3 linked regions of the Coturnix japonica genome follow. The protein of the gene in region 3 purifies or fractionates together with the protein of the main gene of each other region. This does not show direct contact. Links are inferred from orthologs where the notes say so. Each region holds a gene or a part of one and is shown on either strand. Other genes may lie near its edges.

Evidence for each region. The genes of interacting proteins can lie anywhere in the genome.
Region 1: the proteins of RAB11A (region 3) and EVI5 purify together in Homo sapiens (co-immunoprecipitation; 3 studies listed by BioGRID and IntAct, with this or other methods). This does not show direct contact. The link is inferred for Coturnix japonica from reciprocal best matches to the Homo sapiens genes RAB11A and EVI5.
Region 2: the proteins of RAB11A (region 3) and WDR44 purify together in Homo sapiens (affinity purification with mass spectrometry; 3 studies listed by BioGRID and IntAct, counting the BioPlex papers as one, with this or other methods). This does not show direct contact. The link is inferred for Coturnix japonica from reciprocal best matches to the Homo sapiens genes RAB11A and WDR44.

The regions. Positions count from the first base shown.
Region 1 is NC_029523.1:12,180,957-12,186,107, forward strand, and holds the start of EVI5 (ecotropic viral integration site 5 protein homolog), read left to right. Parts: upstream 1-1,771; 5' UTR 1,772-1,802; coding exon 1,803-1,838; intron 1,839-2,365; exon of another isoform or gene 2,366-2,385; intron 2,386-2,717; exon of another isoform or gene 2,718-2,852; intron 2,853-2,958; exon of another isoform or gene 2,959-3,077; intron 3,078-5,151. Other genes in the region: RPL5 (60S ribosomal protein L5), read right to left, coding at 776-778. UniProt on the Homo sapiens protein: Functions as a regulator of cell cycle progression by stabilizing the FBXO5 protein and promoting cyclin-A accumulation during interphase. May play a role in cytokinesis.
Region 2 is NC_029519.1:3,211,370-3,216,592, reverse strand, and holds the start of WDR44 (WD repeat-containing protein 44), read right to left. Parts: upstream 3,381-5,223; 5' UTR 3,268-3,380; coding exon 3,191-3,267; intron 1-3,190. UniProt on the Homo sapiens protein: Downstream effector for Rab11 which regulates Rab11 intracellular membrane trafficking functions such as endocytic recycling, intracellular ciliogenesis and protein export.
Region 3 is NC_029525.1:16,455,974-16,460,660, reverse strand, and holds part of RAB11A (ras-related protein Rab-11A), read right to left. Parts: intron 4,517-4,687; coding exon 4,321-4,516; intron 3,402-4,320; coding exon 3,208-3,401; intron 2,752-3,207; coding exon 2,671-2,751; intron 1-2,670. UniProt on the Homo sapiens protein: The small GTPases Rab are key regulators of intracellular membrane trafficking, from the formation of transport vesicles to their fusion with membranes.

The DNA.
Region 1 (5,151 bases), on a different chromosome or scaffold from region 3:
ATGGACCCACATAAGCCAAGGCCATCCAAACTAAATGAATCACTATTAATAAAACTGGTGGATCAGGAATAAGATGACAGGTTTTCATATGCAATGAGTTCAAAACCATCTTAAGGAAGTGACAGCGGGATTTTTATCCTTCACACAAACTTCCCTGCCCGTGACTTCAGATTTGCAAGAGAGAAAGAAATCGTATCTATTAATAAAACATTTGTCTGCACAGACTAACTGCCACAGCTCCTCACTGCCAGTCACTCCCACAGAGCTGGAGCTATAGTCCCTCGGCCGTTTCACCCTAACTCCCCCTACAGAAACGAGGAGCTGTCCTAGCACCGCCCCGACTCAATCGGCGCCCAGCCCCGCCGGTCTCAGAGCAGCACCCTCGGCAGGACAAGGCCGGCCCGTCAGCCGCCGGCTCCCCACCCAGGTGCCGTGTCACCGCGGGCCCGGCCCCGGCTGCCGCCCGTCCTCGGCTCCCGCTCCCTCTCGCCGCCACGCGGCCCGCCACGCAGCGAGGGGCTGCGGGGAACCGGGGGCAGCGGCGGGGACGAGCCGGACCGTGCCGGACCCCGCGGGGCTCGGCTGGAGCCGCCGCGATCCGCCCTGCGGCGCAGCCCCCGTGCCGCAGGCAGCCATTGCCACGCCGGAGCCGCGGCGGCCGGCGGCGGGCCCGGCTCAATCGGGCTCCATCCGGGCCGGAGGAGCCGCGCGGCGGGCGCGGAGCGGAGGCCGGAGCCGTGCTACGGCTTGGGGGTCCCGTGGGGCCGGTACTGACCATCGTGCCAGGTACTGTCCGGTCTAGGCCTAGGCCGGGGCCCGCTCCGCACAACGACTGCAGCCACTGCAGGGGGGAAAAGGCCGCTCCCACTGCGCAGCCGCAGCTCCTACCCTGCGCCGCGAGGCGGGGCGCCGCAGCTCGGCCCGACCCCAAGGCTCGACACCGCCCGCTGCAGGAACGGAGGAGCGACAGCACCGCGACCCCGCATCGCACGGGGAACCGGCACTGTACGGAGTGAGGGCAACGGGGACAGGAGACAGCCGGGAACGGAGCGGGAACGGCCGCCGCCTGCAGCACCTCTGTATGTGTATGGGCTGTATGTGTGTGTGTGGGACAGGCAGGTCCCGCGCTAATCCCTTGGAGCTGTGAGAGAAGCGCAGAGCAGCACCTTTGGACGTGACGCGTTTCTCTGCTTGGCCTCACTTAAAAACAACAAATAAACGATCATATTTTGAATATTAAACGTTATTTTAAAAAGTCGTACATCTGCTACAAGCGATCTCAAAAGGACAAAAGAAAGAACAAAGCGCTCCTTAGTCACACAAGAACCGGCGCCGATCCCGTACCTCACACAGATCACAGAATGACCCGGGTTGGAAGGGACCTCAAGGATCATGTAGTTCCAACCCCCCGCCTGGCAGGGCCACCAAACATACACCTTTACTAGATCAGGTTGCCCAGGGCCTCGTCCAACCTGGTCTTGAACACCTCCAAGGACGGGGCATCCATGCCGCATCTCCATCTACCTCAGCTCCAGCTCCGGAACCGCGGCGCTCTGCCCGCTGTCCTGGCTCTGAGCTGCCGCCGATCGCAGCACCCGGTAACACAGCACCCGGTAACACAGCACACGGTAACACAGCACACACACACGGTAACACACACACGGTAACACAGCACACACACGGTAACACACACACACACACCCGGTACCACACACCCGTTACTCCACAGGTGGGTCCAGGCGGCCCCGCCCCGCCCTCACAAATTCGAGGCCTCCCAGCTGTGCGCGGTGCTGCCCGGCGCTATGGCTGCGGCTCAACAGGGCTCTGCGCTCTCTGAGGTAAAAATGCCAGTTTTTGATGTGATCATTTTTACCGGTAACTTTTAACGGTAGAAGGAGACTCGTACGGGTATGATTTCTTGATGCAGTTTCTCAGCTCGCGCTGTGTTTGCGGTGCTGTGCTCTGGTTGCCCTCCTCACTCCGCTGCCGTGTGGGGCTGGTGTGTGAAGCTGCTCCGCACTGTGCTGCTGCTCAGACTGCGTCCCTAACATGTGTTCTATGGGGTACCACGCGTGTCTCCTGTTAGCGCCCTTCAGTTCTGTGCTTTAAGCTTTCAGGACGGTTCTAAACAAACAAGAACCCGACAGGCTCCTGCCCGGAGCTGCTCTCATCTGTTTTCGGGATCCCGGTGTCAGGCTGAGGCCGCACAGCGCTGCCCGGAGCGTTACGGCTGGACGCGGTGTGGGCCGCCGGTCGGGCGCTACGGCGGCACCACGAGGCGCTGGGACGGAGCGGGTGCCCGGTGGCACCGCCTGGTGTGAGGGGCGGGCGGCGCGTGCCGGTGCGGTGTGCGGCACGAGGGAACCGGCGGCGGGAAGAGGCGAGGTGCGGTGCGGTGCGGGCCGGCCCGCCTCGCGTTTCGCCGTTGCGGAGCTGCGGGGCAGGCTCGGCAGACCCGGCCGTCACCCGGCTTCGCGGCGAGCGAATGAACGGCGGCGAGGCCGGAGCCGTGCTGCCGCCCCTGCCATCGGGCGCTGCTGCCGGCGGTAGCGGGGCCCGTTATCGGCCGTGTCGCGTGGGCAGCCCGCCACGCCCGAGCCCTGGGTGCTGTGAGGAACAGGCCCCTGCGGGCCAGGCCCGGCGCTGCGGGGGCGCGGGGCAGACCCTCGCGGCGGCTGCGCGCACACTGCGCCTGCGCGGCGCTGGCAGGGACGTGGCCCGGCTGCCGGGGCCGGCGGGGACAGCGGGAGGCGGAACGGGCGGGACGCGGCTGGGCGGCTCGGCGGGGCTCGGCGGCGGGTTACGGGGCACGCCGATGCTCGCGCCTCTCTGTCGCGGGCGACGCTTCCAAGGTGAGGCGCGGTCAGGGCGCCCCCGCCGCTGAGGGGCCGGGGGCGGGGCGCGACGGGGCCTAGGCGGGGTGCGGCGGCGGCCCGGCCGCGATGTCCGGCCCGGAGAGTCGGGCCGGGCGGTGCCGCTCCCGGAGCCCGGTGGGCTGAGTCGCTCAGCGCCGGGTTCTGTTCACCGCGGCCGGGCCGGGGGCCGTGGGGGCCGTGCACCTCGGGCCGGCCGGAAAGGTGGGTAATACGGTGGGGAGAGCGTGACTCCGTGGGGCTGGCAGGCCGGGGTGGGGACAGGGAGCAGCGCTCGTGTTTGGTCTGCGGTGCGTTCACAGGGGTTTATCTGTAAAGGGAGATTTTTCTCAGTCACGTTTTTATGGAGGTATCGTTAAAGCAGGAGCCTTTGGGTGTGTGGTTGTTGAGAAGGTGTTCTCAAATGGTGCTTTAGAGGTCTGTCTCACTGACACCTCGTGCTTCATCTGCACCGACTTGATCGTTTAATAAGGGCAAGAAGTCGGTGTTGGTGTTGTGGCTGCTTAAGGTTCTTTTCAACTTCGGTGTCCAGAGGTGTTCTATAGTCACACGGAATTCCTGCTCGTTTCCTGCGTTGCTGATCGGAGGGCAGTTTGTGAGAGGTTGCCATGGTGTGTTTGGGGTTGTCACTGTGAGCTGGTATAATCAGGTAGCACATTTTAAAGCATTCTTACATTGTCCTGAGTCAGTTTTTTCTGACAAGTGGCCTACAAGAGCTGTAGGAAGGAGTCACATCTGTACGGAGGAGATTGGCAGCATTTCGTGTTTTCCTTATCTCTGTAAGTGTTTGTCAGGAAACTCAAGTTGTTTTGTGTTTTTTTTTTCCCTAACTCTTTTTTTTTTTTTTCTATTCACTTGGCGGCTAAAAGATGTGCTAATTGGATTCTCTTTGTTTTTCCTGTGGATATTTTGCTTAAATGCACTTATATATCTTCCCTTCTAGCCTCCAGTTTCCACTTTGGTCGTGGTCATACAGCTCTGTATTTGCATACAGATGTCAATATTTAAAGGCATTTTGAGGTAGCTAAGTATAAGCACAATTTCAAGCAGTGGTTAGGAGAGGAAATAAAGGACGATGAAAGAGGGACAATCAGGAGGAAAACACCAGCTATTATGAATCAACATTGCTTGAATTTGATTAAGCTGGGATGAGAACAGCTGTGGTGAATATCCCTGAGGTCCAGCCAGCCCAGCAGTGCCTCTGAGAGCAGCAGATGTTTGGAGAAGAACAATTAAAAACAAGAGTCTGTTTCCTCCTCAGATCTCTGAGCAGGCTGAGGCTCAGGCGCTTCCTGAGCTGGAGGTCAGTGGTTTGGATGGATTCTTCGCGTGTCTTTTTTCATTGCCTTCTGTGTGTTTTTCTTCTGTAGGCTGGTCCTGATGGGATTTGAGCAAGTAAACAGGTGATAGCTGGTGAATGGAGCAGGTAAAATGGAGGTGGTGAGGAGGAGGAGGTGGGAGAAGCTTCTCAAAGTTGACAGAAGGGCTGGGGGAAAGTGAAGTGCTTGAGTAGTTGGTGTCAGCTGCTTCTTTGGATAAGGGTGAGAGAGAAGTATTTGAAAAATGGAGAATAGGGGGAAGTGAAGTTCCTTGTCAGGGCACTTTGAAAACCAGGGTTGTTTATCTTGTTCATTCAGTGTTCTCATGTAACAGTCTAAAAGGAAAAAAAAAAAACTGGTTGTTCTTTGCTTGAGCAGCTTTTTTCCTTACCTTCATTTCATACTCTGAATTCAGTATTTTTTTTCCAATATTTTTTTTTCTAATAAAAATATGTTCTTAATTATAAAAGCAAGCAGTCAATACATAAGTTTATAATAGTGATCTGTGACTCTTAAGGCTCTCTGACGTTTTGACAGTGTGATGGTGTTTTCAGACAGCATGCTGAGTTAAAGCCCTGTGTCCTATTTACCTTATGAAAACCAACATGAGCTGTTGGTAATTTTTTGGTTCATTTAAATGGGGAGTACTGTCTTCATTATAGTCATCAGCTTAAATATCTTTGGTTAAAGAGCGTCTTTTCCTTCTGCAGCAAGTGGTGGTTGGAATAACTGGGGGTTGGCAACTGGGCTTAGTCATAATGGAGGGGGACTGAGCTTACTTTGCTCAGCTCATGTTCAGCAGTGATGTATCCCTGTTGTTTACATGCATGCTTAGCAAAAGCTGCATGCCCACAAGGTAGAGGCAGAAGTGATTTAGCAGAAGTCTGGCTTATCCTTGATTAACTTGTTTAGTTAACAAGTTAACTTGTTTAACTGCCTGAGAACTCTGGAAACCATTG
Region 2 (5,223 bases), on a different chromosome or scaffold from region 3:
CCATTACAAGTAATGCTGCTCTGATCCAGCCAAGTTGCATTAGCATCCACTCAGAGACAACCCCTCATCTCACTAATTACACAAGGAGGTATCTCAGGGGACTGGCATCACGTAATTACTTCTCTTCAGGTCACCATGCAAACCAATCAGTGAACTGTCAACTTTTACTACATCCCGAACTTGCGGTCTCAGCAAGATTCTCAGAATGCTGTTATTTAAACACTGAGTCTTGTTTTGATGACAAGATTGTACCGTTTCCTATCACAGCACTTGCCAGCTACCAGCACGCTCCCTTCTGCTGCAGGCAGATCACTCCCTCAATAGCAATGCACAGTGAGAGGTTCAAACAATGCAGCTGCCCTTCCCAAATTCCTTAACTCCTAAACACTTAGCTTTGTGGAAAATCTGCACCCAACAAAGGAGCATCCCATTCTGATGCTTCACTGACACAACACAGAAGAGTGCAAAAACTTAGTTTTGTTTTCATGCAGGATTGCTCTGTGGATGATGGGATTATGTATTTGTAACATGATGGAAAGCACAGCAATGACAGCAGAGCAGCAAGGTCCCAGGCTGCAACAAGTGAGGATTTGCTCAAACAGCTGTGGGCACAGAAGCAAAGGAAAGAAGCCACTTACCTTCAGAAAGCCTCAGGTGTGCAGGGATCTCCAGCAAGACACCCTCACCTCCACTGCCAACCCTTATGGCTGGGAAGGGGTGGATCCTGGCTTCACCCCTTCCATCACTCAGGTACATTACATACACCTGAACTCCACTGGGTTGGCCCTGCCTTCAACCAGGTGCTCCATCACTGCTTCAAGCAGAGACTTAGCATTTCCACTACAATGTTTTGTAATAGATTTTGCAGACCACATTTCAAGTAAAATGCCTCTAACTTCAGTATCCTTATGTGACACCACCAGTAACAGCAGTTTAACAAATAGAGGAGTTAAAAGTTACCTACAAAGATTGGGCAACAGGGGAAGAAAATTCCTATTTCACCTGCATAAACACAACACAGGTCTGATTAACAGAAATGTCAAGTAAACACTTGAAGATCTCTGTAGTTATTTAACTGCAGAACTCATCCCAGTACTGATCAGCCTAAAGAAGGCCACTCTCCCACTAGCAGCTCTAGTGCAGCACCCACTCAAACAATAGTATTTAGCAACTCCTCATTACAGAGTAAGTGAACTGTGTTTCTTCATAAGAAATAAAGTGGGTCATGTACCTGTATCCAAACAAGTGTGCCTTACTTCACGTTCATCTCTCCCAGCCGACATCCTCCTGATCCTGCCTAGAATCATTGCTGAGGTTTTTTTTTTCCTTGACCTTTTTTCAGTTACAGCCTTTTGGCAACAGGGTGACAGAGGTTAAATCAGGATGTTTTTTGCCATGCTGCCTCCCCCCCCCCCCCCCCCCCCCCCACTCCACTAACAACAGATGCCATCACTGACTGGCTACACTGGCACTTATATCTCTTTTCCTAAGATCCTGAACTGCTTACAGAAACAGACGTTGCTTTGGAGCTAGTAAACAGCAAGATGTTCATACACCATACCAAAAGCAGAGTTACACATCAAAAGTCCTGCAGCAGAAGGGAAGGATGTAGGCCTCACCACAGGCAATACAGAAGCGTGCAGTCATTTTATTATTCAGGACTTCTATATGAGCAATTACTAAACTTCCCCATGCAATTGCGATTCTACAAGCCTGCTTCCAAGAAGCACCAATGTAAATATGAAATCAGCTCTCAGGAAATCCCAAAGCTTATTCAGAGAAAACACTCTCTCTGTGTTGTTAATACAGATTGAATATCAGACTGAATGACAGATTCAGTACCTTTATTGCAGACTAAGCCCTCTGAGATCACCTCCTTATTTGATGCCATCAATCCGAGCCAGTGATGCATTCTTATAGGTTACGGAAGAGCAATAAGAAACCTAAAGGAACTTCAGTTTTAATTTCTTTTAATTTATTCCATAGCAAACCCTACTTAATACGGGTGGGGGAAACTTGCAAGTCTGGACAGACAGCATTATTTGTAGGAAATAAAAGGTAAGATATGGAGCTGGAACGGATTTCATGGCTCACTTCGATCAAAGGATGGAAGTTTCCTGCTTCCCACTTCTGTTTTCAGCCACAAATCCCACACCTTCACCCTACCCTGTCTCCATCCTCTCAGGCCGCAGCTGTTTTAACTCACTGAAGAGGTTTTGCTGTTCCTTGTTTTCAGCTGCTTTCAGTCACCGAGTTAAAACAGCTCAGAAGGGTTCGGTGATCACTAGCACCTGGGCAAGGTGAGAAGCTGGAGCATAACCATGTTTCTGTAACAACATGCTGCTAACTCAATCTCACTACACCTTGCAGAGCTGTGTGCCGAGATGCATTTTTAACCAGGCTATGTAAAAAGTTAAGTTAGGAACAGCTTTGCTATAGGATGCATGAGAATGTAAATCCAGTCTTTCCCTTGTTCAAAGCATGCAATGGCCGCTGCCACAGGTTAAAACAAACCCTTGGTCAATTATTAAAGCTCCAGAGGATGGATTCCACAACCCATATCTTGTTGCTCTTCAAAGGAGCTACGTGGCACCTCATCCTGCAAGGTCAAACCGTGGAGAGGTTTGGGTTGAGACTGTGTGAAAAACCAGAGCTGACACAACCCACCGAGCACAAAGCCAGAAAGATAATTACCATTTAAAAACAGGGAGCGCGTTTGGTTAATGGCAGCAACACAATGAGGCAGCTTCGAGCTAACAGGTGCAGGGAGCTGTGCTATTAAATGCTGTTCAGAACTCACTGCACGGAATCGTACTTAACACCCAGGCAACGCCATTAAAACCATACGACAGAGTGCACCTGAAGTTGTTTAACAGGCAGCACCCTGCTCGCTTCTTCTGCCCCAGAAAAATCACATCTTCCCATCACCAAAAGGAGATCTGCGCTACCAAATCGCACCGCAGCGCATCCCACCCGAGACCCGCATCCCACCCGCCCGATGAAGGCTCATCTCAGCCCAGCAGGATAACGGCGATGCCAGCCCACCCCATCACCCGCTGTGTGGGGATGGGGGGACGCGGGGCCGGGCTCTCTCAGCTCCCCACAAGCTCCGGGACGGCGAGGGGGGGCCGGGCCGAGGGAGGGGAGGAGGAGGCAGGGCAGGGCAGGGCGGCGGCCGCACGAGACTCACGGCGCGGGGGAGGCGGCCGCCAGGTGCACATCTTCGGGCGCATCGTAGAACTCCTCGGTGTCGCTGTCTGAGGCCATGGCGGGGCCGGGCAGCACCGGGCTGGGCCGAGCCGCCAGCAGTGCAGCGCCGCGGGGCCGCGGCCACGTCCGGGCAGGACGGGACGGGCAGGCGGGGGACGGGAATGTATCGCGAGAGTAAAGGAGGCACCGCCCCGTGCCGGGAGGAAGTGAGGGAGGGGAGAGGAAGCGGCGTGATGGCGGGCGCCATCTTGAGGAGCTGAGGGGGCAGCGCCGCTGTGGGGCTGTGCCCTAATCCGGCCGTCATTCATGTGCACACAATGTAGGGCTGCACCTTCCTGTTGCCTTAAAATATCATACAGCTTCCCAGCCAAACCAGCTGGGATGTCAGGAAGGAGACAGGTTGGAAAAGCACAAGTTGATTCACCCAGTTCCTCTTAAAAATAAGCAGTGTGCATCTCAAACTCTTCGTGCTGAAATAAGGGCAAATTAGTGGTACATAACATTACTGACTTGTTATTCACTGCTCCTGCTCTGACAGCCAAACATGCTGATCGCATTAGCGTCAATGGGATGGTCTCTGAATTATTAAAGACAACAGTGATGTAACCCTAGATGGGAAGGCAGACAGCTCTGGAAGCTGAGGGGGGGGGAAAGAAAAAGAAAAACAAAACAAAAAAGCTATTGAAAAGCATCTTGAATTGTTTAGCAGCCTGTCAGTAACTGAGAGCAGCTGCATGGCTTCATGTTTTGTTACACGAAGGAGATTATATAGCTGCAGAATTAAGGAACTCTAAAATAAAAACGCAGCTCAGGGATTTAATCAGGTCTACGTAGCTATTAGTGCAGTCTAACTGCAGTGGGCTTGATCTTCATGCTCCAAAAGCATTTGCCTTTTGCATCAGAGCAAAAGAGCTCCTCCAGAACAGGAGCATTACAACCACAGCTCACTGTGGTACAGCCCGACTAGCTTTGTCCATGGAGGCAAATAGAATACTGGCTTTGGAGGTCTTGTCGAGCACCTCTAAGCATCAGGAAATGCGCTTGCCAGAACAGAACCTGAGCAGGAGGTGTTAGTGCTGGCTGGCAGCTAATGCAGGAACAAAGCTCAAGTTCTTCACAGTGCTGCCAGGGCTTTGTAGAGCTCCGTTGTCTGTGCTGTTTGTGGAGAGCTGCACGAGAATGTAATAGGGACAAAGTTTTCAGGGACAGAAGATAAATGTTTTGATTGGGATTTACAGATGACCTGAGTGTTTTCTTGCTAGGGCTGGCACAGTCTTTCCCATGTTGCAGACAGAGATGAGCACTGAGGCTACTGCGCCAGCACTGACGAGCTGTATCCCCACAAGCCTGCTCCCCTCCTGATGTGGGGATGATATATTCTTTTCCCTTTGGCTTAGATGTGAATTTCCCCTGGCCTCCCATGAATCAGGGCTCACATGTTAGCCTGTCCCCAGCACCCCATGGTGTCAGCAGGACCATCCTACCAAGAGCAGTACTGGAAGGTTCTCAACCTTTGGCCATTGCCAGGCTGACTTCTGGCAGAAAAAGTTGCGTTTGCTTCACTGAGTGTGCTGCTGCTTTCCTGGTTTGGAGGCCCAGGAAGCACAGGAATCTCTCTCCATTGTTTCCTAGCTCATTTGCTAGCAGTGCTGACATTGGCAGATAGGTCTTCCTTCCACTAAATCTTAACATACTCACTACAGACCAATACAGGGTAGATTTAAAGCTTCTGCTGAACATTACCAGTCTCCTGATTCATCTAGTCTCCTAGGGACATAGGCTTTTAAAGTAGAATTATTATTATTTTTATTATTGCATTAAAAACTAAGGACGAGAAGTATCTTCTGAACTGGTTACCTCCACAGCCAGTGGGGGATCTCCTGCCTGTCTCAGGACTGCATGGAGACGCGCAAGGGTAGAAATGCTGATTCCGCATCATCCATGGGATGGGGAGGTAGAAATTGAACCCAAAACATATGGCTGACCAAAGATTCACTCCAAGGTCTCCTGCAT
Region 3 (4,687 bases):
AGAGCGCAGTCAGCAGAATGCTTCTCTGCGTAATTGGTAACCATGTGAGACAGGCCTTGTGCTGTAAGAGCTGGGAAAAAAAACAACAAAAACAACTGCTGTCTGTTTGCCCAGCCCTTGTCTGTTCAACCAGGGCTAGTATTTCATTCATTTTCAGGTGTATAGATCTAACAAAAAGAGGAAATCCCTCTTGTTCTGTTCTTATGAAATGTTCTTAATGTCAGTACTCTGTGATGTTGTTTCCTTGGAGATGGGATTCCTTAGAGATGAAACCACAGAAGAATGTGGTACAGAAACAGAGGCAGCACTGAATGAGACAGGGAGCGGAGGCTGACTCCAGTTTACTTTAAGGATGCTTTATCCTGCTGTGAATGCTCACAGGGGATAAGATTAAAACACCAGTCTCTCATATTTGCCAAATAATACAAAGCAGCTTTGTGTGCACAAGAATTAGCCCTTGAAGTCTAGACATCTTACAACAGAGGAGCTTGGACAGGGACCATTATTCTAAGCCATAGAAGGAAAAGGTCCCCAAAACTCACCTAGTACAAACAACAGGAGAGGAAGTGTACTAGATTTAATGCCTTGCCCCCCCCACTGCCCTTCTCCAGCAAATCTATAACACAGCAAGACAAAAGGAAAGTTTTCTTCTTCTGCTACCATCTGTAACAACAGACCACACACTCACTTAAGACTGTGCTAACTATAATAGATCCATGTTTCCTACACCCAAAGCTATCGACCTAAGGTGGCTTCATCTGAGAATCTAGGTGTAGACCACTGTCCCAACCAGATCACCTTCCGTAGGGCAGGGAAACAAAGGAGTTTTGCTCCAGATCTCAGTCAAGACATCCCTGTCCAGGAAAGATCTAAGCAGCTGAGAGGCACTGACAGCAGCCTAAGATGTCTTTGCAGCACTCTTCCCAGCATGGAAGATATTAACTAAGCTGGTGCAGCAGCACGCCCTGCCCCTTCTGTCAGCCTCCTCCACACGATGCCTGTGGCAAAGCCTGTTGGCTTTATCAACTTTCTTCTTCAAATGACAGCAAGTATTCATCTAGGGTTACATTTGGAGGCAACCCAGCCACATACATACAGACTATCCATGATTCCACAGGGTCACTCTGAAAACCACATTCCTCAGATGACTGCTCACCTCTTTCCTTCAAAGCAAATCATTAACACAAATAGCCAGCTGTGAAGTGTTATCAAGAAGTTTATTGGCAGAACATTCATCCTTTGCATGCCAGTTACAGCAGAGATGGAGGCAAGCCTCTGCTAATGTATTATTTACTTCATCTTTATCTCCCTGAAACAGGAGTTGATGTCTGGAGCAAACCATGTGCCCACTAATCAACAGAAGTGTTTCTTCCAGCACAGCTGAACCAGCCCTTCCTCAAGAAGGATTCTGTCCGCATGCCCAAGAGTTCAAAACACTGTCACAGCAACACAGGGAGCCCTGACGTTTCTCAGAAAGCAACAGCCCCAACACTCTGTCAGAGTCCACTGAGGGCTAATCTTAATCATTTGCTCTCACATTACAGACTGCTATCCTCCAGAAATAAAACCAGGAAAAACAAACAAACAAAAAATACATATATTATATATATATGCATATCAAACCTCCACTAACTAGAATCCAAAATAACTTCTGGAATAAAAAAGTGCTGTTGGAAGCATACCAGGAGAGAGAAAAGAAACAGCCTAGTGCGTGCCCAACAGGTAAACTGCTTCTCCATAACAACAGCAGTATACTGTATCTGAGCATCACACAGACAGGCAGCAGCCCAGAGCACACCAGTCATCACTGCAATGGCACAGAGTGGTCCACGAAGGGGCTGAGGGCAGTTAGATCTCTCTCTCACCACCCCCCCACTGCAAGGGTACTCATAATATATTTCAAACAACCCAAGAAAATGCTCCAGAATGTATATTTATTAATTTTCTAGCTACCTCCCGCACTGCATGTTCCAATATGGCTAAAAAGTCCTTTATGATGCGTTTGTGTAAGAAAGTATCTATTACTTGCCAAGAAGAGAGAGAGAGAGAAAAAAAAAAAAAATCTAACTAGCTGCCAATGTCACAGAAGCGAGAAGTTACGCCTATCAGACAAAGGGGTTAAACAAAAAGGAAGTACCTCATCCACTGAGCATGAAAACAGCACCAGTCAGTGCTATCACGTGCTACAAAGGCCAGAAGTCCAGCCAGGTTTATTATATGCACTGACAGCAACCACCCTGCACTCAGGAGTCACTGCGTCCCAGACTACAGTACTGCTCACTTCTTGGCAGCTGTTATGCTCACTAATAGTGATGGAAACAAGGTAGATTGCGTTCTCCTCTGACAATAGCCATTTTGTGTGGAGGTGGGCATCAGACAATTCTCTCACACAGCCACTCCCTGTTCCACAAATGGGAAAGTGAAGCACATAAACCAGGCGGACTGGAAACCCAGGGCAGAGCAAAGTGAGTAAGACCAGACTCATTCCCAAGCCCTGTGCTGGTCTATCAACTATGACACTTCAAAAGCAGCGTCTGAATATTACAGCTGTGAGGAATGATTGAATTGCTAAATTTTACACACTTTATAGGCAAATAAATGCCTATTTGCTGCGTATCAGAGCAGCGTTCTGCCCTTCCTCCTCCAAACACAAAGTATTAGATGACTCACCTGTCAGAATAGTCTGGAAAGCTGCTTCCACATTTGTAGAGTCTAAAGCAGATGTCTCGATAAATGACAAACCATTCTTCTCTGTGTGGACAGAAATACTATAATTAGAGATGTATAACATTTATCTCCCATCCAAAAGAACTTTTGTACCAGACAACGTACGAGGTGTTGCTGATGAGATAGATGCATTAGTGCTAAAAAAAAAAGCATTAAAAGTTGTAGGGTTTTCCTCTTTATGATCTGAAACCATGCACAAAACACAAACCTAAACCCACCAGCAGAGCTTCTACAAGAAAAGCAATGCATAGGCACGGAACTAAGTCTGTTTTAAAACTGTTTTCAAGTGCCTCTGGCAGATTCTTGAGAGTCTATCAGCATACAGGCTCTATAGGACTTCAATTTTAACTGAATGAAAAAAGACATGCAGCAGTACGTGGCACTGAGTCTTTTCCCTCCTACCTGTACACTCACGTATTTCACATCAGGTAGGCAGAGTCTGGACAGTTTGAATTAGGAAATTCTTTTGAGTTCACCAACCTGCAAAAGCTCTGGCCTCATCTGTAGGGACTGCTCTCAGGTGGCGCAAGTCACTCTTGTTTCCCACAAGCATGATTACAATATTGCTGTCTGCGTGGTCTCTCAGCTCTTTCAACCATCTCTCGACATTCTCGTAAGTAAGGTGCTTAGCAATGTCATACACCAGTAATGCCCCTACAGCACCTCGATAGTACCTGTGGGTGAAGAGATGTGTTACAGAACCAGCAAGAAACATGATGGAAAGTGACAAGCTACTGAGTAATAACTGTTTCCCACTACTGCAAAGACAGTTATATTAAAAATAATAATAACACACAGCATGATACATGGGACTTGAAGCAGCTGAAATACAGCATCCAGACCAGGGTTAATCCGTGTGACCACAACAGCAGCCAGGGCAGCTCAGGGGCTGGTGGGTTACCCTGCACCTCAAAAATGAAGCACTGTATCTGTGGGGGATCTACTGTCACCTTCAGCCTCTGACCCACACCTGAAAGGCTCCCCACCCACCATTGTGGGTGCAGCACAGGCACAGCCCGGAGCAGCAGGAAGACTTTATAATGACTCACTGGATCATAAAAAAAAAAAAACCATCAACTTGATGTGTTCTCTTTATGAAATGCCCCATTTGGTTTCCTCTCAGACCAGGGAGAGGCACAGTTACACATTCAAAAAGAAAGAGGTTGTGCTTTCCCACCCCACAATTACCTCCAGCTTTATTCAAATCGAGCTTTAGCTGTGCTGTTTTTTTCATTAAACACACAAAGTGAGCAGTGCCTCCCTACTGATACAGGAGGTGTTCTGGTCATAGGTTACCACTGATAAAACCTCCATCATCACAGCTATTATTTCATCAGTGACTTGCATTTAAATAAGTCTCTCAGCTCAGAAACGCCTCCAGTTACATATCATGAGAGCAGTGAGAAGTAAATCTGTTCATACTATGTCAAGCTTCAGGACAGAATAACATTCAAGCTTCCTTTCCCCATATTATATGTAGATATTATAAGAGAAAATAAAACCATCCTATTCTGCAGTTTGAGGAATCAGAAGGGCCCCAAGTTCACCCTCCTCAGCAAAAGCTTCTCTCCGGCCATACAGGCTGCCACTTACGCTGATGTTATAGCTCGGTATCGCTCCTGCCCTGCTGTGTCCCATATCTGAGCCTTTATTGTCTTCCCATCGACTTGAATGCTTCTTGTTGCAAATTCTACTCCAATGGTGCTTTTGCTCTCCAGGTTGAACTCATTGCGTGTGAAGCGTGACAGGAGGTTACTCTTGCCTACTCCAGAGTCTCCAATAAGGACAACTAGAAGAAAGAAATGACATTGGAATCACATCCCAGATGTAGAATATCTGCTGACAACCACCTGCAATGAATACATTTGTTTTCCAGAATAAAACCCAAAGGACAAGAATAGCAGAACCACCTCCCTCCTTGTCAGGGGTCTGTTGTCCAAGCCTTGAGATTTCCAGATAA